4 linked regions of the Diceros bicornis minor genome follow. The protein of the gene in region 3 purifies or fractionates together with the protein of the main gene of each other region. This does not show direct contact. Links are inferred from orthologs where the notes say so. Each region holds a gene or a part of one and is shown on either strand. Other genes may lie near its edges. The genes, in order: ZEB1, HIC1, SIRT1 and EZH2.

The links.
Region 1: the proteins of SIRT1 (region 3) and ZEB1 purify together in Homo sapiens (affinity purification with western blotting; 4 studies listed by BioGRID, with this or other methods). This does not show direct contact. The link is inferred for Diceros bicornis minor from reciprocal best matches to the Homo sapiens genes SIRT1 and ZEB1.
Region 2: the proteins of SIRT1 (region 3) and HIC1 purify together in Homo sapiens (affinity purification with western blotting; 4 studies listed by BioGRID and IntAct, with this or other methods). This does not show direct contact. The link is inferred for Diceros bicornis minor from reciprocal best matches to the Homo sapiens genes SIRT1 and HIC1.
Region 4: the proteins of SIRT1 (region 3) and EZH2 purify together in Homo sapiens (affinity purification with western blotting; 3 studies listed by BioGRID and IntAct, with this or other methods). This does not show direct contact. The link is inferred for Diceros bicornis minor from reciprocal best matches to the Homo sapiens genes SIRT1 and EZH2.

What each region holds. Positions count from the first base shown.
Region 1 is NC_080775.1:29,630,805-29,638,519, reverse strand, and holds the start of ZEB1 (zinc finger E-box-binding homeobox 1), read right to left. Parts: upstream 3,011-7,715; coding exon 2,953-3,010; intron 2,731-2,952; exon of another isoform or gene 2,605-2,730; intron 1-2,604. UniProt on the Homo sapiens protein: Acts as a transcriptional repressor. Inhibits interleukin-2 (IL-2) gene expression. Enhances or represses the promoter activity of the ATP1A1 gene depending on the quantity of cDNA and on the cell type.
Region 2 is NC_080757.1:15,773,370-15,780,233, forward strand, and holds the start of HIC1 (hypermethylated in cancer 1 protein), read right to left. Parts: upstream 3,017-6,864; 5' UTR 2,898-3,016; intron 1,444-2,897; 5' UTR 1,424-1,443; coding exon 1-1,423. UniProt on the Homo sapiens protein: Transcriptional repressor. Recognizes and binds to the consensus sequence '5-[CG]NG[CG]GGGCA[CA]CC-3'. May act as a tumor suppressor. Involved in development of head, face, limbs and ventral body wall.
Region 3 is NC_080745.1:37,974,007-37,981,748, forward strand, and holds the start of SIRT1 (NAD-dependent protein deacetylase sirtuin-1), read right to left. Parts: upstream 3,017-7,742; 5' UTR 2,939-3,016; coding exon 2,521-2,938; intron 920-2,520; coding exon 803-919; intron 1-802. UniProt on the Homo sapiens protein: NAD-dependent protein deacetylase that links transcriptional regulation directly to intracellular energetics and participates in the coordination of several separated cellular functions such as cell cycle, response to DNA damage, metabolism, apoptosis and autophagy.
Region 4 is NC_080742.1:95,356,405-95,363,827, forward strand, and holds the start of EZH2 (histone-lysine N-methyltransferase EZH2), read right to left. Parts: upstream 3,003-7,423; 5' UTR 2,995-3,002; intron 2,815-2,994; coding exon of another isoform or gene 2,791-2,814; exon of another isoform or gene 2,545-2,790; intron 1-2,544. Other genes in the region: ZNF398 (zinc finger protein 398), read left to right, coding at 2,791-2,814, 6,072-6,467. UniProt on the Homo sapiens protein: Polycomb group (PcG) protein. Catalytic subunit of the PRC2/EED-EZH2 complex, which methylates 'Lys-9' (H3K9me) and 'Lys-27' (H3K27me) of histone H3, leading to transcriptional repression of the affected target gene.

The sequences.
Region 1 (7,715 bases), on a different chromosome or scaffold from region 3:
TGCTAAGACATATTAACCAGAATCTATCCTGAGGTTTCACAACACAATGGCATATAACTTCATTTTTAATTTGCAAATTATAAGGCTTAATCAAGTAGCATGGCTGTAATCAACAGCGATGGATGAAATGCATTTGAGAACAAAAAGAAATACTAAGACAGAGCCAAAAGTGATGAAAATGGAAGATACCTGTGGTAGTACAGTGCTATCTTAAACACCTTTTGTTTTCTGAGAGTAATGCATACTGCAGACAAGACATTTTGTGCTAAACGGCCCCAAATCTGTTTTTCTAATATTAAACACAAAGGAAAAACACTGACAGCAAGCATGGTAAATAATCCCTCCCTTGAGAATGAAAGCAGCAGACAGGAGTGGGCTGACATACATGCAGGAGAAAACTAAACACCATCTTTTTTCTACCTGCACAAGTTGCCATTTGCTGCAGCGATCGAGAACCTCTTTTTCCTGTTGATTTCAAGTACCTTTCAGGATAGCTTTTTTTCCCTTAAGTCATCTGTTGATATGCCTTATGAGTATAATATTCATATCACAGGATCTTTAGGAGAAAAATCCATTCTTTCCTGTTCAGGTAAACATGTTTACAGCAGCTGCACAGACGCTGGGTGGTTCAGACTCACATGTCACACACATGTCGTCAGCAACAAGAAAAGCCCCTTTCTCTGGCGATGAACATTTTAAATAAGGTAGAGCGAACAGCCCTTTCCGAACCAACTTACCTTTCATAAAGCCACATCAGCAACAGCGGCAACAGCTCAATATAGGACACACTATTTGACGCTAAAACAGGAAATTAAAATTGCAATCGCCTATGCTTCGCTCCTTGCTGTAACAAGTCATCTCTCCACAATGAGGATACCAAATATTAGTTATCAGTCATAACTAACAGACGTCTTTAAAATGAAAACGTTTATTTGAATATCTAAAATCACTCATGAAAGCAGTGATTTTAATGTCGGCTCAAATATATTAAAAATATGTTTACGATTGGAAGGAAACATCTTGAAACAGCTTTAAATCTTCGTATCTGCTTCTCGACAGGAAATCCCACACAAAATCTAAAATTGCCAGGAAAGGTTACAAAACCTCGCGTTTCGCATCCCAGAGGGGAGGGAGAATGGATCCCGAGAGCGGGGGGTGGGGCGGGGGGAGCGCGCGCGAGTTTTCACTTAAACACGTATTTCCTCATTTTCTGGAAGATACAGCGATCCCATTAGAGGCGCATTTATTGCCCTACTCTTAAAAACTCGTTTTTAAAATAACGCAGGAACGCAAAGGAGCCCCTCGGTCCGAAATGTACGTGTAATTCCTTATATAGCCTGGCTGCAGCCAGCGCAGGCCGTTGCCGCCCATTATTATACAAACAGGTACCCGGCCGGCGCGGGCGGGGTCCTCTCCCCGCGCTCCCGCCGCCCCCGGGCGGAGAAGTCTCGCCCCTCTCGCCACAGGAACTGTCCAGACAATAACAATCAGCAGACATTTCGCTGCTGAACCAGAGGGAGAGAAAGCACAGACTCGCCCCCGAGATAAGCAGAAATACAATCAACTTACACCGTCTCTCCAAACTGGAAAAGGCGACTGTGCAACAACAACCACATGTTCGGGTCCTGCTCTCTCGCGCTCTCTCCCTCTCCCTCCGTTTCTCTCTCTCGTGTTTTGCTTTTTTTAACTCTCACGCCAGGCAGAGGGGTGTGTGTGTCCCCGGCACCTCAGCACAAATCAATAAGCACTGCAGCTGCAGCGCGAGCAGCGGACCCGCGCGTCCGTCGGTCCGTCCGCCCCCTCCCCCACCCTCCTTCCACCCGAGACCGAGAGCGCCATCCAAGCTCCATTATCCGGCTTCAGCGCTCCGAGCGTCCGGCCCAGGTAACAACTTCCCCAAAAACCGAAAGAGAAAAAAGAGAGGCGTAGGTGCAGGACCCCATCCCGGCGCGGAGGAGTCTTCCCGGGAAGGGGGGATCTGTCTGTGGTGCTTTCCCGTCTGAGCCCAGGTAACTCCGCGCACACACCCGCTGCCCGGCTCGCCGCCATCCACACGTCCCCCAGCAAGGAGGTGCCCGCTCCCGCCCGCCGGCTCCCGCACCACCGGGTCCTCCCGCGCGGGGCTCGCCTCGGCGCCCCCAGGCCGGGGGCCCGGAGCTCGATGGCCCGAGGCGCGGGGAGGAGGGGCGCTGAGGGACCCGCGCCTCCGCGCCGCTAATGCCCACTCCGCGAGCGCGCCTCGCCAGCCGGTCCCAACTTTACCGCCGCCGGCCGAGCCCGGGCCGCCCGCCGCGCGCGCGGCGCACACGCGCGCACGGACGACACGCAGCCCACGGCCGCCGCGTCCCGCCCGCCGCGCGCTCGCAGCCCGGCCCGGCCCGCCCGCCCGTTCGGCCGAGCCGCGGGGCCCGGGCGGCGGTGCCGGCCGGGGCGGCGGCGCGCGGAAGCCACTTTGCACGGTCAGCGCCGGGCACAAGTTCGTTCCGCGGCTCCCGGGGGCCTCGGCGCCCAGGGAGCCGAACGCGGAGGGGCCGGGAGGCGGGGGAGAGGGGAGGCGCCGAGGGGCGAAAGAGTGGGGAAAAGTGCGAGAAGAAGCAACAGCCGCTCCCCCGAGCCCAGAAAAGTGGCCGGCCGCGTCCGGGCCGCCCGCCCTGCGCCGGGATGCGGCGGCGGCTAACGGTCCAGGGAGGCGGCAGGGGCGGCAGGAGCCGCTAGGCGGAGAGAGACCAGGTAAGAGACATAACGGTTCAGGGAGAGCGAGCGGCCGCGGCGCGGCTCCGGCTGCGGCGGCAGCGGAGGGGGGCAGAGAGCACTACTTTCTACTTTCCCACTCCACTTTGCCCGTCCCTGCCCCGGCCGCCCCCAGCCCAGCTCGCCCCCCTTACCCCCGGGGCGCCCCGGCTGCCCGGCTCCCCCTGACTCCGCCGCTCCCCGGTCCCCTCCGCCACTCACCGTTATTGCGCCGCGGGTTCGCCTGCTTTCTGCGCTTACACCTGGGGCCATCCGCCATGATCCTCTCGCTTGTGTCTAAATGCTCGAGTCACCTCCTCCCCCTCCCTCCCCCTTCCCCCCCACCCCTCCGCCTCCACCCCTCCCCCCTCCCCACCGCACCTGGTTTACGACACTCGCGGCTTTACGACATCACCTTCCTTACACCTAGAGCCGCTCGCTCTACGGCCGGAACCTTGTTGCTAGGGAGAGGACGGTTTGCGGCAACCGTAGGAGCCGCTGAGTTTGAATCGGGGGGAGAGGGAAAAGTTTCCCTCAGGTGTCGGGGGACGGGGGAGGGGGCGTTAGGAGACTGTGGGGACGTGGCCAGAAGGGCGACAGGCCGGCGGAGTGAGAAAGGTAAAGTGGGAGGCTGCGTGGCGATCCGCCTCTGAACTGGCCACGCCCGCCGCGGCCGCCTGGGGCGCGTATGGGTCTGGCTCCTGCTGGGGACCCTGTGCCCTCAGAGCTGCGCCTCCGAGAGACGGAGCCACCTGCCCTCCCTCGTCCCCGAGGTGGGGCTCCCCCCCACGCATCGTTTGTCCGCTCGGCGCGCCCCCGGGCCCGGGAGAGGGTCGTGCCTGGCTCCCCGGGGAGTCCCGGAATCAGAGGCACGGCGAGGGGCGGCTTTGGGAAGCCCGGCCTCTGACGGCGAGGACGCGCGCGTCGCGAGAGCGCTACTTGACTCCCTCCCTTCCACGGACGCGCGGGTTTCCCCCGAGCGACCCGGGCTAGAGAGTGATTTCAATTAGGTAGAACTTAAGCTGGACCCAGAGAGAGACGACAAGTTCCGCTTGCAAGCCGCCTGGGCGGTAAGCGGAATGAGTAATACCCACGCTGTCCCTGTCTCACTTCCTCATGCGCGGGCCCTCACCTGCTGTCACCTCGGCCTCCGCCGCCCCGCCCTCCTCCCCGCTGTCCCCTTAGAGTAGGCTGTAGGCGTCAAGACTTAGAGTGAAGGTATCGACAGGCCACGATTTACCACCTAAATGGGCAGTTACCGCCCTATGGGACCTTAAGGCACGAAACAGCGGCCGCACGTGTGGCCTTTGAGACTGTTAGATTGCTGATCCTATCTCGAGTCCCTGACTTTGTACAAGTTTGGGGATTTCTGAAAGACCGCGTAGATAACACCACAAATACCAAGAAAGTCGTCTTCAGTATTCAGTAGGACTTAGCTTTCCGCTCCTTCCCCCCTCCCCCATTCAAGTGAGGGAATGTCTTTGGGACCAACTTTATGGAATAAATGAGCTGAGCTGTATTTCAGATAATATAGTTATGAATTAACTATGTAAGAATTATTGATAGAGAAATTGAGGAAACTGAAACATGACATAGACTATTAGAAGTAACATAGTAAGTCGCCCAGCACAGTGCTCTCACATAGTAGGTCTTCGATAAATTTATGCCTATAATTTTTGTTATACCTATGGCAGGATTCTTTATTATGTTAAAATAGTCTTTTGAACACCCTCCAGAATTTTAGAAGATGCATTAATAATCTCCTCAAACCTTTCAACTGAAATAAATTTACAGCTGAAGTCTGGTAATTTAAAATTAGAAAGTTTAATCCTGAATATAGATGAAAATTTTCTCTCCCACGTTGGCTTTGGCATTTGAGAAGTGAATGCGTTATTTATTGGTGCATGAAATGTGACTGTAAATATTCTGTGCTATACATTATGTCTGTATATCTACTCTCCTCAGTGCCAAGACTAGAATCATTATTTCTACTGATCATTTTAAGTACAGGCAGTCCTCACTTTTCTCAATACCATGTTGACTGAACTTGTGCATGTCAGAACCAGAACCTTGTCCAGGCTTTGCTTGGTTCACGTTTTTTTTCCTACCCTCTTAAGAGCTGTATCATGTTCTTCAGTTGCCTTCTGATTCAGGTTATAGACTTTGTCTTTTGCTAGCAGCGCCCCCCTCCCTCCCCGCCCCCCCCACAAGTAACTTTTTTATAGCTACCCTAATTTCCAATCAGAAAGGAAAAAAAAAATACTTTCTAACTGTAGCACACGAAGTATCCTACATGCCATTTTCTCTTTCTGAAGTGCCTGTCCTGTACCTCCCTACTAGCTTTCTTCAGTGTTCATCCTCACCTTGAAATCCAAGAGAGAAAGTGAAGGGATAAGCCAAGTAGAAGTCATTTTCTGCCTTACTTTAGTGGTTACTAGTTTAGTTAGCTTGGGCCAGACTTTATTTAACTGTGTGGACAGATACAGTGTTTTTTTGGTTTTTGTTTTTTTTTTTTTGCTTGTTCATTTCTGTGCCCTCATCACTTAGCAGAGTACCTAGTCACATAGTAGATGCTCAGTAAGTAAATATTTATTAAATCAATCAATATTGTTGACCTTTCCTGAATGTTTTTGGCTATAAAGTAAGGGTTGTTTATCTGCTTTCATCACATTAGTTCTAAGGAGCAGTTGAAATGGTGGATGTAAAAGCTGTTTACTGTCATTTATATCCTGCATTATTTTGAGGTTAATTGCTCTTCGTTTTAGATAGTCCATAATCATTTTCCCCAAACGATTACCTCTGCTCACTCCTATTTTTAAAATATGCACAGGAAATATTATTCATATCCCAAATCTAATACAAATTTTTAATTTTGTAAACCTGTAATAATTACATATGTTATAAATTGAATATTTGATTAATACACTTTTTTTGCTGTAATGTTTCCAAAATTATTGAAATCTAGACTGGAAAGAAAGCAGACAAAAGTAAATCTCAGAATAAATCGTTGTTGTAAACCTGATGCATATTGTAATGGTTGCTTCTTACACCTCTTAAATATAACTAAAGAAGTGGAAAAAATCTTGAGTAAATTTAAAAAAGGAATAAATTTATTAAAATTTAGACTTATTTAAATAAAAGATGGTGGGGATACTAATAAGAGTTTAACATGTGTCCTGTATTGTTGGTTTTTAGTAATTGTGGTGCCGTCACACGTTTTCAATGTATACTCCTATTTTTGACGTCAATGAAATGTTAACACTGTGCTTCTAGCGAGCACTGGGATTGCATATGCTGAAAGGGAGGTATTCTGCTAAAAATGAATTACTATAATCTTTTCTAAATTTACAGGGAAAAATGTAAATGGATAGAATATTTTCAATATTAAGTTTTTTCCTATAAATTTTTCATGAACCCTTTGCACCTATTTGCTTTCCATAGAAGATTTATGTATTAGGATAAAATTTGACATAAAATCATTTTAAGTTTAAAATGTAGGTGTTTCATGGTGTTCCACATCGAGCATGTGATTTCCATGTACCTTACTTCCTGAACACATTTGAGAAGTATAACTTATTTATAATATGATTCTGTAATCTTCATCAAAATAAAAAGTTGATTATTTTCATGGAAGGATAACGTATTAATTAATTAAATTAATGACATTAACGTGTAATCTTAATCTTAGAGCTTTGAAGGAAAAAAAATTTGATAGATGTTATCCATCAAATTTAGAATCCCCTGAAGTTGCTCCTCAGTCTTTGGCTCAAGAGTAACTCTGGATATGTGGTTCACAATGACACAAAAGAGAGCAGTGGTCGTTTCACTGCCTGCAATTTCACCAGATTCTACAGTCCCTGAGTCAAGAAGGAACCATGACTAGGGGGTGATGTAGAACCAACAGTCTTTAGGACCCACATCAGCTTTTCTAATTAAGCCTCCCGGGAGGTAATAGGGACAGATGTTTTCTGCAAACCTCCGTGTGGTTTTATTATATATTGCACTACAAAATGGTTTTACCCCTGCTGGAGAATAAGACTCCTATTTTTAATATGTCAATAAAGTGTTAACACATGGAGCTTCTTATTTGGGGGGCAACTTTTAGGAACATGTCTAATATAGCGAGATGTAAGTATAAATAAATGTAGAGAGAGAGATTTGAAGGATATTAATGAACATCCAAAAGTTTGTTGTTAGTGCTGTGGAGTGGATTCCAACTCTTAGCACCCCTGTGGACAACAGAGCAGAACCCTGCCTGGTCTTTCTGCTCCATCCTCTCACCTTCTGGTGCTGTATCAGACAAGGCTCCACTGCTCTTCACAGGGTTTTCATGGCCAGTGTTTTCGGAAGTGGGTAACCAGGTCCTTCTTCCTAGTCTCTTAGTCTGGAAGCTCCACTGAAACCTGTCCACCATGGGTGACCCTGCTGGTATTTGAAATAACGGTGGCATAGCTCACAGCATCACAGCAACACACAGCCGCCACAGTAGTACAGCCGGCAGACAGACACATGGTGTGGTTCCCTGGCCAGGAAAGGAACCTGGGCCACAGCGGTGAGAATGCTGACTCGTAACCACTAGACGACCAGGGCTGGCACCCAAAATGTAAAACTGATCTTTTCCATAAAATCACAATAATTAAGACATTGCTTTCAAAGGCTAGCTCCACAGAAGATAGATTATAGTTTCTAATATTGATATCACTTATGAACATGATTAGAATTTTTTCTGTACTTAACTATAGGTAGGTAATTTGTACTAGAGAGCGCAACATACATATTTTGGATTTGAGTGAATTTTAAGTATCTACAGTGATATCAGGCGTCTGATATCTGGTTTCTGCTGCTGGTTTTCCCTCTTGCCTCCGCGTATTTCTTTTCTCTGCCATCTTGACGACTTTGAGCAGCTGACTGATTCTGTTACAGTGTGGCTGGCATCTTTGACCTACAGCCCTGGCCTTCTATATTCCATGGATCCTCAGTTACAA
Region 2 (6,864 bases), on a different chromosome or scaffold from region 3:
CAGCGACCTTGTCCCCACCGCCTCCAAAAGGGGGCCCTAGGCCGGCAGCCCCGGCAGCTACTTCAGCCGCCTCGGCCCTGCCATACAGCGCCTCCTCCTCCTCCACGTGAGCCTCCACGTGCGCATTCAGCTGCTCCGAGCTGGGGAAGCCCTTGCCGCACGGGATGCACACGTACAGGTTGTCACCGAAGCTCTCAGGCTCGCCGTAAGCCAAGTGCGGGCATGGGTAGCCCTCGAGGTGGCCGCCGGGCGGGCTGGGATCCTCGCTGCTGCCCGTCTCCTCGCTACTGCTCTTGTAGTCGTCGCCGTCGCCGCCCGCGCCAGGCCCGTCCAAGCCGCCCGGGTAGCGCGGCGGCGGCCCCAGGCCTAGCGGGGGCCCCCCAGGCGAAGCGGCCGGGTCCCCGCCGCGCTCCTCGCAGCGCTCGCCGGGGGAGCCGCGCTCCCGGCCCAGCTCGTCACCGTAGCTGCCCAGGCCTGGCTCATGCTTCATCCAGCGGTAGAGGAGGCTGGGCCCGTCGGGGCGGCCGGGGGGCTCGGGTCCCGGGCTGGCGCCGCCGCCACGGAACGGGTCCGGAGGCGGGACGGCCTCCTCCAGCTTCTGGAAGGGCAGCGGCGGCAGCGGCGGCAGGGCCAGCGGCGGCTCCTTGTAGGCTGCGGGGCCGGCGCTGGGAGGGCTGTCTGGGCGCGGGGGCAGTTCGCGTTCGCCCGGCGGCCGCTCGGAAGGCGCGGAGCCCGGCGGGCTTTTCTTGGACAGGTCCAGGCCGCAGAGCGGGGAGCAGCGGCGCTCCGGGGCGCAGAGGGCAGCGGCCGGGCCGGGGCCTGAGGCGTACAGCTCGGCGCAGTGCGTGTTCACGGCGGCTTCGGGGCCCGACGGCGGCTCGGCGGCGGGCGGCGGCGGAGGCCCGGCTGGGGACGAGTAGCAGGCCTGGATGACGGGTGTGGCGGCCCTTAGGCCCCGGCCCGGCCGCCCGTAGGGTGCATAGCCGCCACCACCGCCGCTGCCGCCCCGCAGGTGGCAGTACTTGCCGTGGCGCTTGAGGCGCTTCTTGCACAGCGCCACGAGGTCGGGGATCTGCAGGTAGCTGGCAGCGGCCAGCACGGCGCCCAGGCTCGGCTCGGCCCCCGGGGCCACGGCCGCCGCCGCCGCCTCCGCGCCATCAGCCAGGCGTCCGGTGTAGATGAAGTCCAGCACCAGGCGGAACACGGCCGGGCTCACCATGTCATGGTCCAGGTTGAGCAGGTTGTCGTGCACCACCAGGGACTTGAGGTAGGCGCTGCTGGCCGCCAGCACGTTCTTGTGCGCGCGGAAGAGGGCGTTCTGCACCACGATGATCACGTCGCACAAGAAGCCCTTGGTGCGCTGGTTGTTGAGCTGCAGCAGCAGCTGCCTCGAGTGGCCGGGCGCCTCCATCGTGTCCAGCATCGTCTGCCCAGCACAATCTCCTGCGGGGACACACACCAGCTGGGTCAGAGCCGCAGGGAGCCCTTGCTGCCTGGACCCAGCCCGGTGCTTCTCCCCTCCACTTCCCCTTCCCCTCGGCTAGGCCGGGGCATCAGCACCGCGGCCTGGGCACTGGCGGAGGATCGGCAGCCTCCGAGTGTGGGAGCCTGGGCGGGCCGGCTGGCCCAGAAGAAGGAGCAGGAGAGTGGCTAGTGGAGAGAAGGCCGGGTGGGCCTGCACCTTTGGGCCCGGATGCCGCCCGGCAGACAGGCTGGCTTGTGGGGGCTTCCGAGGAAAAAACTGTTCGGGCGAAGTGACCCTTTAGGAGACAGTTACCCGATTTGAGGAAAATGTCCGCTTCAGGAAAAGTCATTCAGGGCCGAGAAGTTTGCCTAAGTGGGATGTAAGGGAGTCGAGTAAAAAGCACCTCCCGCCTCGGGAGAAGTTGCCCCAGCTGGGGGAAGTGATCCGGAGGAGGGGAGCGCGGTGCCCGCCGTGGCGCCGCCCTGGCCGGGGCTGTCAGGCCCTCATTTGGGGCCCGGGCGGCAGCCGCGGCGCGGGGAGAGGAGGCAGCGGCTGCCTTGCTGGGCAGAGCTCGAAGGCCGGGCCCCGGCGCGGGGAGGGCGTTATATCGGGGCAGGAGGCTGAGGCAGGAAGCAGGTGGGGGGGAGGGGGGAGCCACGCAGTTCCCAGGGGAGGGAGGGGGCAGCGCCCCGGGCGGGCACGGCGCGCAGCCGGCTGCGGCCCTGACCCCGGCCTGCGCCCCACCCGCGTCCCGGCCCCGGGCCTCGGCCTCTGCTCTGCATTCGCGGGCCCGGCGCCTCCCTCCCCAGCTCTCCTCGGCCCCTTCTCCACGGGAACTCCGCCGTCCCAAACTTGGGGAAAAGTTTCCCAACTTCAGACAGGCCAGGAGGAGCGCGCCAGCCCCGGTCCCTTGGCTCCCAGCTTTTCCTCTCGGCTCCCAATTTCGGCAGCCAGGCGGTCGCAGGGCCTGAGCCGATCCCTGAGCTCCCCGGCCCGCCCGCTCGCCCGCCCGACTCTGTTCCCCGCCTGGCCCGCAGGGCCTCGCGGCCCGTTACCTGCGGCCGCAGCCCGACCGGGCTTCCCTCCCCGAGGCGGTGGCAGTCCTAGCCAGGGCCCCACCCGCCCCGCTGCCAGGCGCCGAGCTGTGCCAGGGCAGCGCCCCTGCCAGCCCCGCCCGCCAGCTCCCCTTCCCTTCCCCTAGCCTCTTCAGCCCATGTGCGGGCAGAGCCGGCCCCGGGCCGCTGACCCCGCCGTGAACCCGGCGCAGAGCAGCGGCCCAGAGGTCCTGAGTCCTCTAGGGGCGACACCCCGAGCCCTGAAAGCCAGCCGCGCTGGGGCGCCCGCGCCGGAGGATGCGCCCGAGGCGGCCAGGGCGCGAGGACCGGGCTCTCCGGGTCCTCTGTCCCTCCTGGTCCCCAGCCCCAGGACCCACCTGGGGGGCATGTCGGAAGCCCCGGGCCCGGCTGCCAGCGGATCCAGGGGGGACGTGGCTGCGCTGCGCTGCCCTCCGCCCGCCGGGCCCCCGGTCGGTCTGTCTTGCTGGTCCGTCCTCCCCGCGTCCTGGTCGCGTCTCAGCCCCGCCGCGCTTTCCGCACACTCTTATCTGGAGCTGCCCGGTCCGGGGGGCGCTGCTGCAGCTATGGCGCCACCTCGCGGCCGCGAAGGGCTTTGCGCGGCACAGCCGCGACCTCCCTCCCGCGTACCTGAATTGGAGGCTCGTAGTTGCGGAGCTGGACCTGGGAGGGGGGCCTATTCGCAGGTTCACTCCCCCAGATGTGCCCACTTGGGGACCCAGGCCCCGGACCTGCGAGTCCCACAAACCCTGGGGTTTTGAGCTGAACGCTCCCATTTACATATTTCTATTCAGAGAAGTCCTGCCCGCAAGGAGGGGACTCTGGTGACAGTAGATGGTGGGAAGGAGGTTACGGAAATCCTAAGGGAGAAGAAGGTAGACAAGATCTTAGGTGACTCTCCCTAGACATTCCTAGATGGAACTGTCCATTTGTACCCACCACCCCAACACATCCACCCTCACTCAGCCACATGGGTTAGGTATGCACAGAATAAACCCGTTTGCACCCAGACCGTCTCCAGGCATTGACACCTGCGGGCACGCCTGTTTGCACAGAACACACCTGCCCCCTTCCGGAGTCCAAGCCCTGGCTTTCTGGGACATTCCGGGGGCTGCCACGTAGGACTCTCCGTGGACCTGGGCAGACGTGGTACCCAAACAGCCCGCCCTGAACTTGCAGGTCTCTGGAAGGACCCCAGGATATTCGACAGGGAATGGCTGGACAGCGCCTCTTGGGGGTCCCGCAGAAGCGACCCCAGCCCCCAGATTCCCCGTGTGAGCCGTTCCGAGGGACATGCCTGGGCCACCTCGTCTGCAACCCACCGACGCGAGAGACCCGTGACAGGAGGGCCTGCAGCCCGGGATCCCCCGCAAGGTCCCGCACCCCCACGTAAAGGCCGGGTTCTTGCAAGTGACGCCCCTTCTCGGAGGGAGGGGACCCCGCACTGGCGATCGGACACTCGCAAGGCTACTCCGGAAGTGTCAGCGCCCGGCCCCGCCGCTGCAACGGGCCTGTAGAGAGCGCGGGGTCGCCGCAGCCCACGCTCCGCCTCCTCCTCGCACCTCCTGACCCCCGCCCACACGTTGGGGGTGGGAGTGGGTCCCCGAGAACGCCTGCGGCTTCTGATTGGCTGCTCCTCCCTCAGCCGCCGCGCGCGAGAGGCTGGGGCTCAGTTACCATAGTAACCGATGAGGTTCGCCCAGATCGCGTCTCTCCAAGGCCTTGAAGAGCTTAGCAACTAGCAGGGCCGCGGGGCAGGTGGGGGCCGCGCTCGCCGCCCGGCTGCGGTCCTCCGCCCCCACGCCCCCGCCAGAGGTAGTGGCTGAGTCATTCATTGAGGGGCTGCCAGCGCAGCCACTCGCGGTCGCTGACAGACACCAAGGTCTCAGGCGCCCCCCAGAGGCTCACTTTCCTCCGCAGGCGACTTCATGGCCTTGGGGCCAGGCGGCGGTTCCTGGTCCCCGCGGGACCTTCTGACTCCCCTCGTGTCTTGAGTCTGCCCTCACCCTGTTTCTACTACGTGTTCTGGATCCGTCTTATCCCAGTCCTCTCCTCTGTCTCCCCACGGTCTCCTCACTAGAGAAGTAGTGAGGTTCCAAGAATGAAAATTGTGGGCTCCGGGGCTGCCGGCCTCTAGGAGAGACGGACCCCCACATCTTGGCGGAGGGACATGTGGTGCGTTGAGGTGGAAAAATGTATGGAGTGCTGGGGGGAGACTAGAAGGCTCCTCAGAAGAAGCGCTCTTAGAGCCGGGCTTTGATGGATGAATAGGAGTTCTTCCCCCAGGCAGGAAGGCATTCCTTGGAGATGAGAACCACTGGGACAAAGACTGGATACAAAAAAAAATGGGAACTCTAGAAGGCCAGATCCCAAAGTGTGCATGACCTCTCTGACCCCATTTCTGCTGTAGTCTTTCATCCTCTTGATGGGGCCAGATCCTAGCCCCACAAGGAGCCCCTCAGCCCCACGTCTCTTTTGTGCGGTTGAGTCTGTCCACTGTGAACCTACCCTAGGGTCCGCTGTGCCCACTGTCTTTGTTTTTCTTCAACACTCTCCCCAAGTTAACTCACTGCCCCAGCCCCTACCCTCAAGCTGTCCTTACATCTGTATGGGAGGGTCTCACAGAACTTCCTCCAGCCTAGCTGCCCTCCTATGGACCTCTCCCTTCTTCAAACTTTGACCTTTCCCTCCTTCCCTAGTTCCACCTGCCCTGGCTGGTGCTGACCCCTCCTCACCCCAGTCCAGCTCCTCAATCTGCACACTCTCCCCCTTCCCCATTTGGAGACTTCCTCAATTGATGGAGCTAGGCTAAGCCAGGGTCGTTCATTTCCCTGCTCCCGTCCAGGGGAACTCTGACTACATGGTGTGGGCCCTTCCTGCCAGTTGTGATCTCCAAGAACTGTAACTCCTCCAGGAAGTGGTCTCTGCCCCGCCGCCCCCTGGAGACCCCACTCTGCCAAGCTGCTGAGCCTTTGGTCTCCTTCACTCGTTATCATCCTTATCTGAGCTCTGCCAGTTCCCATTATTCCACAAATGGGTCCTAAACGCGGTCTGCTTCGTGCTAGGCTCTGAAAATGGCACTGCCAACCTGTCCTCCTCCCCTCCACTTGATGAGGCTGCCTCTTCCTCTCGCCCCCTTCTCCTGCCACCTTTTTCCCAACTGTCCCATAGAGGACCCCCTTGTTCATTTCTGGGGAGTCCAAGCCACCTCCTCAACTTTTCTGCCTTCCTTTGGGTCTCCAACTTCTGACTGGTACCTGGACCCCCATTGGGCCTTCCCTCCCAGGCCCAGCCTCCTCCTACAAAGCCTTCCGGGACCCTTGGGCTCCCCCACTCTTCTTCCCCATCTCCCCGACGCCACATCTCTAGATGCTGCCGTAGGCCCCTCCGCGGGTCCAGCTTCCTCTCCTGCCCCCCGCAGTGGCCCTGCTGTACAACGCCGCTGCGGGGCATCTTGTGACTTCACAGAGCGGTCGGGTCCAGGAAGTGAGGAATGGGAATGGGGGCTACCTGGTGAGGACCTCTGAAAGGCGGGCGGGATGGGGTTGCGCCCCTAGGTGTCCCAGAGTGAATAAACATGTAACGGACCCGTCCGCCCTCCCCGCATCCCAGCACTATCCTTCCCCCGGCCCCCAGCCCGCAGTTCCGGAAAATTAACCCCTGGTAGACCGGCACAGGGGGCGCGGGCTCCCCCTCCCCGTTCCTGCTTCCGTGCGCCCTCTTCCCCCTCTCAGCCCCCTGTCGCCTCGGTCCCCACCACTCTCCCTCCTCGCCTCACCACTATAAATAGCCCCTCTTCCCGTTTCCTAAATTCCCTGCTGACGTCGGCAGCGCGTCAGTGTGTAGGAGCCGCGGCCGCATGAATGAGCCGCCGCACGAGTACTACGCGCTCCTATAAAAGCCGCCGCGCCAGCCGGGCTGCGGGAGGCGAGCGGGCGCGGGCGCGGGCGCGGGCGCGACGCGGCTCGACAGGTAAGCGGGAATGACCGACCGACGGGAGACAGATGGACCGATGCACGGACACGGACAGGAGGGCAAGGAGGAGACCAGCAAGCAGCAGGTTGGAGGGCCTCTACGGGGCTGGGGTTGGGGACAGGGTGGGGGCCGAGGGTCCCCTCGCAGCTGGTGGAGCCGGGCCGGAGGCGTACACGGAACTCCGTGCAGCACCTGCCCGCTCCTGGATGGAGACGCAGCCACTTCGGAGGAGCATCGAACAGAGGACGGACCCCAGAGTCCCCGCGGCTTTTCCTGGCGCTCCTGCGCCATTCTCCCAAGAAAGTGGGGCGAAGGTGCTGGCGCCCCCTCCTCCTCCTCCCCGCAGCACGG
Region 3 (7,742 bases):
TCATTAAGAAAAAGATTACTTTTGAGATGATCATGTTATAACTTTGGTATAAAAATCTGATAGTGTTTTCTACTTCAAAATACTTTCCCATTTCATCTACATACTTAATAAATATTTACTGAGCACAAACTATGTGTCAGGCACTTTTCTAGGCACTGACAAAACAGTGTACCAATCAGTCAAAAATCCTGCCCCCATGGGGCTTATACTCTAGTACAGGAAACAAGACAATAAAAAAAGTTAAGTGTTGGGCCGGCCCTGGGGCTTAGCGGTTAAGTGCGCGGGCTCCGCTACTGGCGGCCGGGGTTCAGATCCTGGGCGCACACGGACACACCGTTTCTCTGGCCATGCTGAGGCCGGGTCCCACATACAGCAACTAGAAGGATGTGCAGCTATAACATACAACTATCCCCTGGGGCTTTGGGGGAAAAATAAATAAATAAAATTTAAAAAAAAAAGTGTTAAGAAAAATTAAAGAAGAGATATGAAGTGAGGGAGCAAGATACTCTTAATGGGAGGAAGAGCATTCCACACAGAAGGTATGAGTGAAAAGGGCTCGAGGTGTGAGAGAGACCTGGTTGAGAAATACCAGATGCCAGCTTCCGTGGGCCTGAGCTGCTACAAACAAAAACAGAACAAAGCACTAGACTTTCCCTAGAAACATAAGCTGACATTAAATCTCAGCAAGCACTTAAGAACCTCATCACTAGGTTATAAGGGGGCAGAGAATTACACTTTCAGTTGGCATAAAACAAAAATACAAAGAAAAAAACATTTATTCTCTAAAGCTGTGAAACCATACCTATCCGCGGCCTTGGAGTCCAGTCACTAGAGCTTGCATGTGAGGCTCTATCATCCTCATCGCTTTCACAAGAATGAAAACCGTTGGTGATTATTTCATCACCAAACAGAAGATCATCTGCAAAAGAAACCAAAAGTAACTCAAGGTTGCTTAAACAATCTACATCTAAAATGTACGAAGATCTACAATGCAAAGATTTTCTTTCTGGTTTTTGTTGGTGAGGAAGATTGGCCCTGAGCTAACATTGGTAGGCATCTTGCTTCTATTTTGTGTATGTCATGCCGCCACAGCACCACTTGATGAGCCGTGCATAGGTCCGCGCCCGGGATCTAAACCTGCGAACCCCAGGCCGCACAACTGGAGTGCGCGAACTTAACCACTAAGCCACCACGCCCACTCCTGAATAAAGCACGTAACATTTATACAGCCCGTGTAAAGAATGCCTACTGGGTTAGCTTTCACCGTTCACAGGAGCAGTATATCCTCATTTTTAGCGCTTCTTCCCAGAATCTAAAAGTTTCAGTTCGTCAAAATTTAAATAAATTGGGTCTACCTAATCAAAACACAAAAAGTAGTAACCTAGTTAGATTGACTTTATCGATCACAAAGAATGGAGTTCATGAAACTTGTCACACAAAAATTCACCAAAAAAGTCGTTCAAATGAAGTACAGCAATTTGCACTTCTCTTACATAATACTAAGTATACAATGATATCTTTGCATTATTCGTTTCCCCTATTAAAGTGTGTTTCTTGAAATCAGGAGTCGTTTTACTAATCCAGTTCCTAATGCACACGTTGTTACCTTTACAGATGGTCAAATGGTCCACTGATTGGATTTGATACAAATACTGATAAACACAGGGCAGAAACTCCTCAGATGGAAAATAAGAAACCTTCAAAGATGACATGACATATACAACTAACAACCGCTTGCGTATGCCAGAAAAAATGTCAATTCGTGTTTCAAGGTTACATATACACACACAAAAAGATTATACTTAATCTAAAAACCATTATAAGAACATGATTAGAGGAGAAATACTATGCATATAAAGTGCTCTACAAGTACTATCACTCCTATGCCCACTATTAATTGCACCACAGAAGGGTAATGTCTTTACGTAACGTCTTTATACTCTTCAAATTTTGCAGGTTATGACTTTAGAAATAGCTTTGCTGTTTAAAATTTAAGCTAGCTCAAAAATAAAGACCAACTGCACAGTCACCAATTGTCAAAAGTCACCAATTGCACAGGTGTCAGTTTGCAAAGACGACTGCAAAAGGTCGATGCAAAAGTTGCAGATTTAATTGTGCTGGGGGGGGGCGGGGGGTGGGAAGCAAAAGATGTCTAACAAAAGCAATATGTTATAAGAGTAGGAGGAGAGAGAAACATTTTAAAACCAACTGCAAGAGCTTCCCGGTCCGGCGGCTGCGCAAAGCGCGAAGCCCGGGCGGGCGGCGGACAGAGGGAAGGCGGGAGGAGAGGGAGGGAGCGAGTCCGCGGGCCGCTCGCGCAGCCAAGCCAGCAGCAGCCGGGCCAGCAGCACCGGAGGCGCGCAGCTCAGGAGGGCCGTGGTTGGGAGGGGCACGCCACAGAGCCAGCCCTGAGCCCCCAGCCCGCACCAGGGAACCCCCCCCCCACCGACCCCACCCCAGGAGGGGCCCCGGGAGAGGGAGGAGGGGATGCGCAGTCCCGGCCGCCCGCGCCCTGCGCACCTCGGTACCCAATCGCCGCCGCCGCCGCCGTCGCCTCTTCCTCCTCCTCGCCTTCGTCGTCGCCTTCGTCGTCGCCTTCGTTGTCGTCGTCGTCGTCGTCGAAGTCGTCGGCCGCTGGCGGCTCCCGGGATAGGCCCTGTAGGCCCGGCCCATTGTCTCCTCTGGCCGCCGCCGCCGCCTGGGCCTCCCGCTCCCCGCCCGCCACCGCCGCTGCCGGGCAGCTCCCGGCCGCCGCCGGCACCTCACGCTCGGGGGCCGCCCCACCAGGCTCGCCCGGGCTCCGCCCGAGGCCGGGGCCGTCTCTCCGCGGCCTCTTGCGGAGCGGCTCCCCGGCGGGTGGCGACGCGGCCTCCCTCTCGGCCGCCACAGCCGAGGGGGAGCCGCCGGACTGAAGGGCGAGCGCCGCCTCGTCCGCCATCTTCCAAACTGCCTCTCTGGCCCACCTCCGTCGCCTCCTCTGCTCCCGCTCGACTCGCGGCACTGGCGCCCCCGCGGCTCCGGCTGCGGGAGATTTAAACCCCGTCACGTGACCCGGCCCTCCCCGCCCCCGCCGCTCCCGCCACCCACGCGGGCTGGACCACAACACGGCGGGTCACGTGGCTGGCGAAGGCGGCGTGGGCCCGGAGGAAACGCACCTTGGGCGGTGCCGCCCCACCCCTTGGCGGCAGGCGCTCGGTGCTGCCAAACTCACCCCTTTCTCAACTTCTCTTTCGAACTGTCGTTAAATCGCTGCCGCCAGGCTGGCTCAAGCTTTGATTCACAGTGCGAGTTTCCACTTCTGCCTTAAGTGCACACCTTGCTTGCTTTAGTCTTTTCAAGATTTAAGCTAAGGGTTAAAACTTAGTTCCTGAGAGGCGAGAAGGAATGAAGCTGGCCAAGGCTTAGCTCCCGGACGGAGGCTGGATGGTGGGTCTGTTTTGTTAACAGGTGTGAGTAGAGGCGAAAGGACACAGCTCACTCCTCACACCATTCTGACAGCTCCTCTTGGCTCCTTTTTCTCTTTGCTTCTCTCCTAAGCCGATTGCTTTTTCCCCCTCTCTCCATCAGTTGTAGGGTGATGTAGGCTGTCAAATCCTTAAAGACATGTGTACCCCCTGGAAAGACCTTTGACTTGGGGGGTTGGGGATCAACCTGTCTGCTTTCTGGCCTCAGCTTGGCTCCAAATGTGTGTGAATTCCCTTCTCTGGGCTTCACAAAGTGAGTGTATTGGGTCAAGTGGGGCAATATAAGAAGAGTACAGAATGAGCATGACTTGGCCCCTATACACCTCTGGGTTTGGGTTAGTATTTGAGATCTTTCCCTTCTAACTTGAGCAAGTTAGTTAACCTTTCTAAACCCAGTGTTCTCATCTCTAAAATGGTAATACCTATTTTTTAGGGTTGTGATGAGAATTAAATGAGATAGCCAGATGTAAAGTGAGGGATACATAGTAGCTCAAAAATATTAGTTACTTCCCTATTCGAAGCCCCTACTTTCCATTTACCCTGAAATTGCAGGACTCTGTCACTCCATATCTATCTTTAACTAAGGACTCATATAATACATGGCAGATCTAGAGCCAGTGCTTGGTAGGGCATCTGCTTCTGGAGTGCGGCATTTCTGTCCACTTAAAGCGCCTCTCCGAGTTTACAGTAAATCATCCCTTAAGCTGAACGTGGGTCTTGCCTATACTGCACCAATTACTTGTGTGAATTTAGGCAAGCAACTTAAGTTGTTTCTTCGTTCTTAAAAAAAAGTAGAATATTGGAAATCTATCTCTAAGGTCCCATCTATATCCAAAAGTCTTTGTACCTCAAATTAAACTGAGAATCTCCCCTTACAACTGATCATTTCTTTTCATTTCTGAAAGTGATTATTTCTTTCAAGAAGACTTGGAATCAACTTTGAAGTGTTTCTTCAGACTGATGCTCTGTAACCAATCAGTGACCAAATCCTGTTGTGCTTCCTTCCTTCCTATACTCTCTCCAATTCCTGACTACATAGATACCTCCCTGGCTGATATACTTGGACCTGTTCTCTCCCCACTTTGTCTATCTTGTTCTACAAAATATTTCATAAATTCTTTCTCAGCCACGTTGGTGGGATGTAATATATGAAATGTTGAGAGTCAGTATCCCATCAAAATAGAAACAAAATTCCTAGCTTTTTTGAGAAAGACCTTTGTAAGCTTATGGACATCCTGTTATTCATTCATTCATTCATTTATATATATCATGAATCAAAGACATTTGCTAGTCTTTATTGTGATCAATATGATTGCTAGTGTACTGATAGGTCAGAGATGGGGTACACGTGGCAGGTAGGATAAATGAGAGACAGAAATTGTATTAAAAAACAAAACAAACACACACCTTCTCAACTAGATATCTGGCCTACCAGGAGTTGAGAACAACTTGCCTGAAATTCAAGTCATTCTTAGTCCTTAAGGCTTGCAAGTTCACATTCAGTTTTTCAAGTCTCCCATGAATCTGGCCTTGACCTTCTTGTAAATATTTTTAGCATTAGTATATTCTAAACCGAGCTATTCATGTACCAGACTTTTTTTTTTTTTTTTTTGCTTGAGGAAGATTCACCCTGAGCTAACATCTGTGCCAGTCTTCCTCTATCTTATACATGGGTCGCTGTCACAGCACGGCTGCCGATAGTAGTGTAGGTCCACGCCCAGGAACTGAACCCAGGCCACTGAAGCAGAATGCGTCAGACTTAACCACTAGGCCACAGGCTGGCCCCCAAACCATTTTTTTTAAAATGAGGAAGCTCTTTGGGGCCGCCATGTGGCATAGTGGTTAAGTTCAGTGTATTCCACTTTGGCGGCCCAGGTTTGCAGGTTCAAAACCCCGGGCATGGACTTACACTGCTTGTCAGCCATGCTGTGGCGGCAACCCACATACAAAATAGAGGAAGATTGGCACAGATGTTAGCTCAGGGCAAATCTTCCTCAAGCAAAAAAAAATAAAAATAAATAAATGAGGAAGCTCTTTAAGTTGTCATATGGAATGCTCTCCATGCTGCACAGTGCAAGATGTAGAACAGTGTGTGTAGCACTATTTGTGAGAAAATAAAAGGGAGAGTGTGGAAGGGAGACCATATATATGTATTTGCTTATATATGTACAAAATAACACTAGAAGCGCTTAAAATAAATACATATATGCCTGCCATATATTTGTCATACTGTTTTGCCTGTATCTCCTTCCCTAGAATGAGTCCTCTCTATACCTTATTCAGAACGTTATAGAGCACATTCCCCTATTTTGCTTGTTAACTTATTTTTCTCTATGTGTTTTACTGACTGTCTCCCCCAGCTACAGCAGGAATTTGGTTCATGTGGTTCACCTCTGTGTTATCAGCTCTCTAGTAGAGTAACTAGCACATCTATTTATTGAATGAAAGAATAAAGAATCTAAATGAAGATTTCCATATAGGAAAAGAATTAGTGAATGAAAGGTGATGGGCAGCATGAATCCTAAACAAAAAAAGGCAAGAAGCAAGGCAAGGAAATTCAGTTTGTCCCCAGCACAGTTCAGGTGAGAAAGTTAATGAAACATGACATGACCTGTTTCTTGTTTGACAGGATGAACGTAGGTGCATTGGGCTGTGAGGTGTTTTCCAACACGAACCACCAGTTCTGATTCTCCAGATACCAACTGGGTATTTAACAGTTCAACTCAATTATGACACTGGACTGCCCCCACTTCAGATGCCAGTCACCAGTCCCAGACCTCCTGTACAAACTGGCTATAAACAGGGAGTTCCCATGACACTTACAAAGGATACAAATGAACAGCTAGATGAAGAGGTACGTAGGGCAAGGTCCAGAAAGGTCCAGAGCACAGGAGCTTCTGTCCCTGTGGAGTTGGGTCACACCACCTTCTTAGCTCATGGATGTGTTAACCAATTCAGAAGCTCTCTGAAGCTCCTTGTTGAAGACTTTTTATAGAGTTCAATCTCCAGTGCGCTCCATCCCTCTCTCTGGAGGTCAGGAGTGGGGCTGAAAGTTCCTGCCCTCTAACCACTTGGTCTTTCTGGTGACCAGCCCCAGCTGAAGCTATCTAGGAGCCCCACCCTAAGCTACCTCATTAGCATAAACTCAGGAGTGAAGGAAAGGAGTTCATTATGAATAACAAAAGACACTCCTAACACTCAGCAAATTCCAAGGGTGTTAGGAGGTGTGTTTCAGAAACAGGACAAAGACAAATATTTATTTTTTATTATACCAAAGGCTGTCATAGACTTCTCACACTAGTCACTAGGATTTTTAACTTGTTTTCAAATTCTAAGCCCCCTAAGCAGCCTTCAACAGTAATTTGGTTTCCCATATAGACTGTCCCACTGGGAAGAAAATGTTCCAAGAGCCAACAATAATATTCTGGCTGACTTGGCAGCTCTATTTATATGAACAAAAAAATTGGCCTTATAGCTTTGATTTCAATCTCATGTGACTACAATTAGTAGGGGAGTTAGTATCAATTCTTTGTGTACTGAAAAACAGTATTAGCAAAACAGGTTATTAATGTGGAAAAACACAAATACAGATTCCTACCTCACACTAAATACAAAAATAAATTCCAAGTGGATTGAAGATCTACATGAAAAAAATATAATAAAAATATTAGAAGACATTTTATAATATATAATTTTGCATCAAAAAGAACTAAGACAGAAGCCATTTAAAATATATAAATTTATAAAATATATTCTAAAAATATATATTTGACTATATAAATATTTAAAATATGTTCGAATCTATTAGTAGTCAGGGATATGCAAGTAAAACAATGAGGTACCATTTTTCACTCCTCAAATAGGCAAAAACAAAACAAATTTTATTGCTACCATCTACTGCTTACCAGGATATGGGGACACTGATACTCTCCACTGCTGTCACAGTAATGGAAAGTAATCTGGAAATATTTATTAAAATTATAAATACACATATACATTTCAACCCCAAATCCCATTTATCTTAAAGAAATAGAAGTGTGAATATGTAAGGATATGAATACAAGAATATTTATTATGGCATTGCTGTTCCTGGAAAAAAAGTCAAGAAACAATCCAGATGTCTTCAATAGGAAACCTATTGATCAAATTATGGTGTACACATACTATGTCATATTATGCAACCATTAAAAAGATCTATAACTGTCATCCTTGAGGAATATTTATGATACACTGTGAGTGACAAAAGCAAGTTGCACAAAAATTTGTACATTACGATCC
Region 4 (7,423 bases), on a different chromosome or scaffold from region 3:
GACATCCAAAATATATTTGTTCTCTGTAAACAACAAACTCTATGCTTTTAATAAGACAATGCCTCATGGTTTGGGATTTGTGAAAACTAATATTTTTTAAAGCTTGTAGAAATAATTGCTATAGACTGATAACCATTTTCAGCAGTTGAAGAGAAAGGATTTTTGAGATTTGCCCAAGCTATGAATTCTAAATACTGATTTCTTTTAGAAAAAATTCCTAAAAACTTTTCCTGATTTATATTTTGCTGTGCGCAAAAAGGTTAATGAGATTATTACATATGCTGCCACAGTATATGGTATATGTGACATTTGGACATGAAGAATCAACCCTAATTTTTTAGGTTTAACAACACAGAGAATTAATCATTTATTCAACCATGTTTCCACTTTCCTTACCTGATGAAGGATTCCTGGGTTTCACACACATAGTGAATCTGACTTTGAGAAATATTTATGGAATGTAAAATCTGTATAGAGAAATGCATGAAATTGTCATAGACCATGGAACAAATATGGTGAAGGCTATGAACATAAGCATAATATAATTTGTTTACACCCTTCAGTTTTATTTTCAGAAAATGGTTATAGTTTAAAAAGATGTAACAGAAAATGACTGGCTGCAAGCAGAAAGATTATAGACCACTTCCACAATTCTTCTTCAGCCAATAACAAATTATGATACACGAGGGATTTTGAAATTGTCTTGTCATGTACATACACAAGATATTTAAACTAGATGGGATAGCAGCTATTACATCCTTCAAAGGCTGATGGAATCAAGAAGGCCTTAATTTTGTATTTTCCAGAGAACATTACCAACGTAGCAAGACTTACTAATAACCAATGGTTGCCTGCAGAGCACACAGGTTGTTTGTCGGAACTTGCTGAATAAATTGGTGTGTCTTGAGAGTGCAAGTATTTCCTACATGACTCCTGCTGAAAAGATCTTCCTTTGATTCTACTCCAGGGCGGATGCTGAAATTGGTGTGCATACAAGGAAAGCTAAGATGCAGATGGAAACTTCGATTATTTTCTTAACTTGAAAACCAATTAAATTGCTCCGTTTTCACATTTCTAGATCCAAACTTTAAGGACAAAATTTTCTCTAGTGATTGTGTAGAGCGGCAAGAACAGAAAAAAATATTAGAAATCAGAAATAAAAAATATAAACAAGCGCAACGATCTTAAATCTGCTTCTGAAAATATCATGCATCTTTTTGAAACAGTGCACAAAACTCCAGTCACTGAAATTGCTTCAATGAAATGCCATCAACCATCCAAAAAGTTTTCAAGGCTAAAAATTAAAAAGGAGAAAAGTCTTTACCTTAATAAGCTCCTATTAGAAAAAGGAACGTTTAATAAATTGGTGGCAATATCACCATATTATACTGGCAGAGCTAGCCTTGCTTCTCCATGGAGCTCAGTTGAAAGTATCTTATTTAGTAACGCAAATGTCCCTGTTTAATGGTCTTGGGAGCAACCAACAGTTGACAGGACCGAGAAATTACTGTTCTTGACCTTATAAGGTCAAACTGTAAAATTTTAACTACTACATTTTTAATAATAAAATTATAAAAACGAATTTCCTTCCCAAGAAAATTCAGATTTTTTCCAGAAGTTCATTCTGTTATGGCGACATTCTGATTCAGAGAATAGCAATTTTTAACTATCAAACATTCACCATTTGACCAAAATATACATTCAGGTAGATCTCAAATTACACACTGCAGGTGTAGCTACAGTCTAAAAATAGCTGGTATGCTCAAGAGCAGGTGCCCCAACAGGATGGTTCTCATACTTTTGTGATTTATAGATAGTTTGTTATGGATATTGACTTGGTTCATTTGTTGAAATACAGGTTTGGGAGGACTTTGATTCATGTTCACATGTTTGAAATGAGGACTGTGCTGGAAACTCCGGGTTATTGCGGCCGTCTTGCTATAATATACACTCTGCCAACCTCCACAGACAACACTTGGTTCTCTCCTGTCCACTAGCACAGACCCAGCAAACCGAAACCTCAGTCATCCGAGACGTAGGACGACTAGAGAGTTTTGGTTCTAACACGGGCCACGTGGGACGTGAACCGCTTCACCTCGGCAGCCACATGTGCAATTTCTGCAAATGACGAACATCTTCATCACAGATGTCTGCCTCTCGGTCACTCACTCTAGGCTCACTTGGGCCCTGCCTGCCCTTCGGCTTTCGCCCTCCGCCTGGTTCCACCTTTCTAGAGTGGGCTGCCCTCCCGCCCTCCCGCCCTCCCGCCTTGCTTCAGGCGGTGTCTGCGAATGTGGCCGCCAGGAAGGACCCCTCCCCAGACGAGCCCTGGTTTGAGGCCCTAAGCTCGCATCTGGGGAGCGCTCTCGGGGCGTGCGAGGAGACAGAGGCACCGGCTCCGTGGAGCAGACCCCGCCACCCGGCCGAGCCGACCCAGCCGCGGGGCGGAAGTGGCCGCTGGGGCCGACAGGGGGCGCGCTGCGCGGGGCTGCGGCTCGTCTAGGCCGGAGCCGTTCCGGCTGCGCTCGGTGCCCACAAAGCGCCAGCTGAGGGGCCGCTGCGGGCCGAGCGCGGCTGAGCCTGCCCGCCCCCGAGCTCCACCGGCCGGCCGCCCCGCGCCCCCGTCGCGACCCCGCGCTCCGAGTACCGGGCCTGACGGCCGCGCGAGCCCGGGCGGGGAAGGCAGGGCCGGGCGGGCGCCGCCTGCGGAGAGGCCGGGGGCCGGCCTGCGTGGGGCCGCGCGGCGGCGGCGGCGGCGGCGACTCCGGCCGGGCCGGACAGCGCGGGGCCATGGCCGAGGCGGCGGCGGCTCCGGTAAGGCGGCCCGCGCGAGCGCTGCGAGCCCGGGAGGGTCGGACCCGAGGGAGGGAGGAGGGCGGGAAGCCGGCCTGTCAGGCGCGGGGCCCGGAGCGGGGCGCAGCCCGAGCGGCCGAGCGCAGACGGGCGCCCCGGGGTCCCGCGGGGAGGGCCGGGGAGGGCCCGGTGGCCGGGTGGGACGCCGCCGCCGCGGGGCTGGGAGGGCTCGCCGCCTCCCTCCGTGAGATCCCGCGCCGGCTGCGAGGCCAGGGCGTCCCAGCCCTTCTAGAGGCTTCTAGCGGGGAGAGCCTGGGACGCTCCTGAGAGAGGATGCGTGAAGAGGGGTGCCTCCGCTCGGTGTCCGCGCTCCACAGCCCGCCAGACGCAGGCGGGGGCTGTGCGGTCGTCAGCCTCGGCTCTGGGAGCCGTCCTCACAGAATCTCCCGCAGCGCGGTCCGCCTGAGCCTCGCTCAGCCACGGAGGCGGTGGTGACGGTGACACTCGGTGTATTGAAGGACTGCCCAGCACATGCCAGTGCCGGACACACAGGAGGGCCTCGGTCGGCACGCTGCGGGAACGCGGGCCGGGTTCCGAGGGCGGCGCGCCTGCTGCGCGTCTGTTCATTCAGCCGACGTTGACCGCAGGCCGCTGACCGCAGGCCGCGGTGGGCCAGGCCCCCCGCCAGTTGCTGGTGCTGCAGAGATGACCGAGGCAGTCCCTGCACCCCCGACGCGGGTAGCATGAGCGGGGACCAGGCGAGTAACAGAGGGCTGAAAAGTATGCCCTGGATTTGCCAACTGAGAAGCCTTTGGTCACCCCAAAGAGAGCCATTTTAGTGGTCAAGCTGTGCTACCGAGGAGTGACTGGAAAGTGAGAGGAGGAGGAAGAGGAGGAAGAAGAGAGCCGCATCAGTGGGGTGGGGAATAGAGTAGAGGGGAATACCATCTCTGCCCTTGGACCTGTTTTTCCTTTTCCAACCTTTTTTTTTTTTTAATATGGTAGAGATGATCATGCGTCTATGCTAGCCCTGTCCAGTGGAAATATAATGGAAGCCACATATAGATCTTTAAATTTTCTAGTAGTCATGTTTAAAAAGTAAAAAGAAATAGATAAAATGAATTTTAATGATATTTAACCCAATGCATACAAAATATTTCAATGTGGAATCAATATTAAATTATTAATGAAGTTTTACATTTTCCCCCATACTAATCCTTCAAAATCTCCAGTGTATTTTACTTTATTTTTCGTGTGTGAGGAAGATCGGCCCTGTGCTAACATCTGCCAATCCTCCTCTTGTTTGCTGAGGAAGCCTGGCCCTGGGCTAACGTCTGTGCCCATCTTCCTCCACTTTGTATGGGACACCGCCACAGCATGGCCTGACAAGCGGTGCGTCATGCACACCGGGCCCCCAACCGGAGAACCCCGGCCGGCGCTGCAGAGCGCACGCACTTAACCACTTGTGCCACACGGCTGGCCCCTCCAGTGTATTTTATACTCACAGCACATCTCAATCAAAACCATATTTCAAGTACTCAGTAGCCACATGTGGCTACCATATTGAACAGTGCAGGTCCATCTTATGGAGAAGAATCAAGAGAGATTGAAATATTGACCATAAAAAAGAAGAAGAATGTACCTAAAAATGTGGAAAGAGTTGGCATTCAGAGCTTAAGTGGAGAGATCAATTTTAAATAGAATGAACCTTTTTCCTGTGGGAAGGAAAGAAGAAAGCAAGATTAAGTTACTGATGAGTTTGAAGTGGGAAGGAGTGTGAAGAAAAAGAAGAGAAAGTTGAGAGAGTTTGGTCTAGTTACTCTAATTTTCTTCTCAAAGTAGGAGTCCATGTCATCTCCTCAGAGTGAGGGGCCCTGCAGTGGACAGGCATCTTACTACTCAACGCATGTTCCCTGAGCCAGCAGCATCACAATCACCTGGGAGCTTGTTAAAACTGCAGGATCTCAATTTTCCTCCCAGACCTACGGAATCAAAGTCTGCATTTCAACAAGATCTCCAGATGATTCTTATGCACATTAGTTTGAGAAGTGCTGTACTAAAATTTAAGGAGAGTGCGGGCACAAGGGTTCTGGTGGCCACTAGATGGAATGGGAAAAGAAGCATGGGGGCACCAGGCAGTGTTGAGTCCCTGCTGAGCTTAGACACCATTGGTCTGTGGTGACACCAGTTTACCCGGTTCTGTGACTTCCTTTAGTAGGGCTTACCAGCCTGCTAACAGGAACAGAGAATGAGAACGATCGGACTGATTCAAAGCTAGGGGTTAGTTGAGCAGGTGAGGCACAAAGACAGATGAGTGAAGGGGCTGAAGGTGGCTGAAATGATCAACCAAGGAAGAAAGGAAAGCCTGGAGCAGGCTGATAAACCAGGAGCAAATGGAATGGTCAAGGGTTTAGTGGGATTGGAGAGCAGGTGAAATGAGAAAAAGGTAGTGGGTGAGCTGGAGAGATGGGAGGTGGTGGCCAGAGAGCATGTTATCAAATTCATAGAGTCGAAGGGCTTTGTGGAGGTCATGCCTGTCAAGCCTTCTGTTTTTTGTAGAAATTTCTTTTTTTTAAATGCACTCTGTTTTGAAGTACATTCAGTGTTAGGGCAGCCTGTTATTTTCTTGGAAAGATCTAGTTCTAAAATTATTTATATAGGCCAAGGTTTGCCTGCCTGAAAATTCCGTGTTGGTTCTAGTTCTGCCCTCTGGAGTAACACAATATAAGATTAAACAAGCCTGTTCTGCTTTCTGTTTATAAGCCTCAAATGTTTGAAAATAGCTGTCATGTTTTCTCCAGACTCAACATTCTCAGCTTAAGTATTACTGAATGGTATGGTTGTGGTTTGTAAGCAGGGTGGTGGACAGGGCCACAGCATAAGTCAATAAGGGGTTTATCAGAGGGCACTGAGCTCAGTGAAACCTGGAAAGATCCTGATGCACTTAGGCCTTTTCCAGAGAGAGAGGATGCAGCAACAACTTGAGCCTCTGGACAGTTGGCTCTAGAGCCTTACATCCCAGGGAATATGTCAGGCTGGTTCTTGATCCAGCTTTACTCATTCACTGCCTTACCTAATCCATCCCTGAACCACCAAAGCAGTTCTCTTGGCTTTTGATGCCAATGAGCTCTATAAAGACGAGGCTTATGCAGGTGGTACTAAAACTATATTTAGATTAATCTCAGCCGGCCAGTTTAAGCGGTCCTTATCTGATTTTAGTTTGGATTAGGGCTCCTTCTAACACTCAGTGTCTTGTCTCATCTCTCCACTGCACACAGACTTCTGAATGGGACTCTGAATGCCTTACGTCCCTGCAGCCCCTTCCTCTTCCCACACCCCCAGCAGCAAATGAGGCACACCTGCAGACTGCAGCCATCTCCCTGTGGACAGTGGTGGCCGCCGTGCAGGCTATAGAGAGAAAGGTGGAAGTCCACAGCCGGCGACTCCTGCATCTAGAAGGACGGACAGGGACAGCAGAGAAGAAGCTAGCCAGCTGTGAAAAGACAGTGGCCGATCTTGGGAACCAGCTGGAGGGCAAGTGGGCCGTGCTGGGGACCCTGTTGCAGGAGTACGGGCTGCTGCAGAGGCGGCTGGAGAACTTGGAGAACCTGCTGAGAAACAGGAACTTCTGGATCCTGCGGCTGCCCCCGGGTATTAAAGGGGATATCCCAAAGGTAATACCTTCACTTCTAGATGGAAAGTGGTCCCACTAGTCCTTACACTAGTAGTAAAGGATAGTCTTGGTCAATCAGTTAGGCCGAAGGAACTATGAAGTTGTTTTGTGTTTATCTATCTGGGGAGCATGCCATGTTCAATTTAGCGACCATTTGAAGTGTTGAACTTCAGGTTGGAAAACTCTTCTTAATCCCAAGTTGGCTATCTGGCAGATAGGTCTCTTTTGCTTTCTCCTGCCCATTACCCCCGAGTCACTTTTCCCTTTGTTAACCTGTCTGCCACAATCTTGGTGTGGAAACTAAATTAAATATCATTTAAATCAGTCAATTTGAATTTGTCGGCAATTCTGGTGAAAAGTTAGAGGGAGGAGAAGGGAATGTATGTAGAGTAAATGGTTAATATAAGGGTTTAGGGCCATCTGTAGGTCTAGAACTGATGTAGATCCTGCCGTTCAGCATCCTTCACAGAAGTGTGCTGCAATGCTAGGGCCCAGCCTTTCTGGAGTGAATAGCCCATAAAACAAAAGGAAATATACATCATTCCTAAACGATGGAAGACAGCCTTGAGCCAGCTAGTTTCCAAGCATGCCTGCTTATTCATTCATTCATTCAACACATATTTCTTGAACACTTACTATTTGCTTGATATCTACATCCTGAAGGCACAGCAGTGAACAAGACACTAAAGCTCCCCTGGAGTTTAAATTTTAGTGGGGAAAGAAAGATAACATAAACAAAGAAAAACTTATGTCCATTTAAGTGCTTTGATAAAAAATAAAAGTGCTATCTGGTGATTTATTTTAGATTGGGTATCAGAGAAGTTCTCATAAAGGAGCTAATATTTAGGTTGATACTAAATAACAGGAAGGACCCAACTGTGAGATCTGAGGAAGAGCTTTCCAGGCAGAAAGAATACCTAGTGCAAAGTCCCGAAGGCACAAAGAAACTAGGAACAC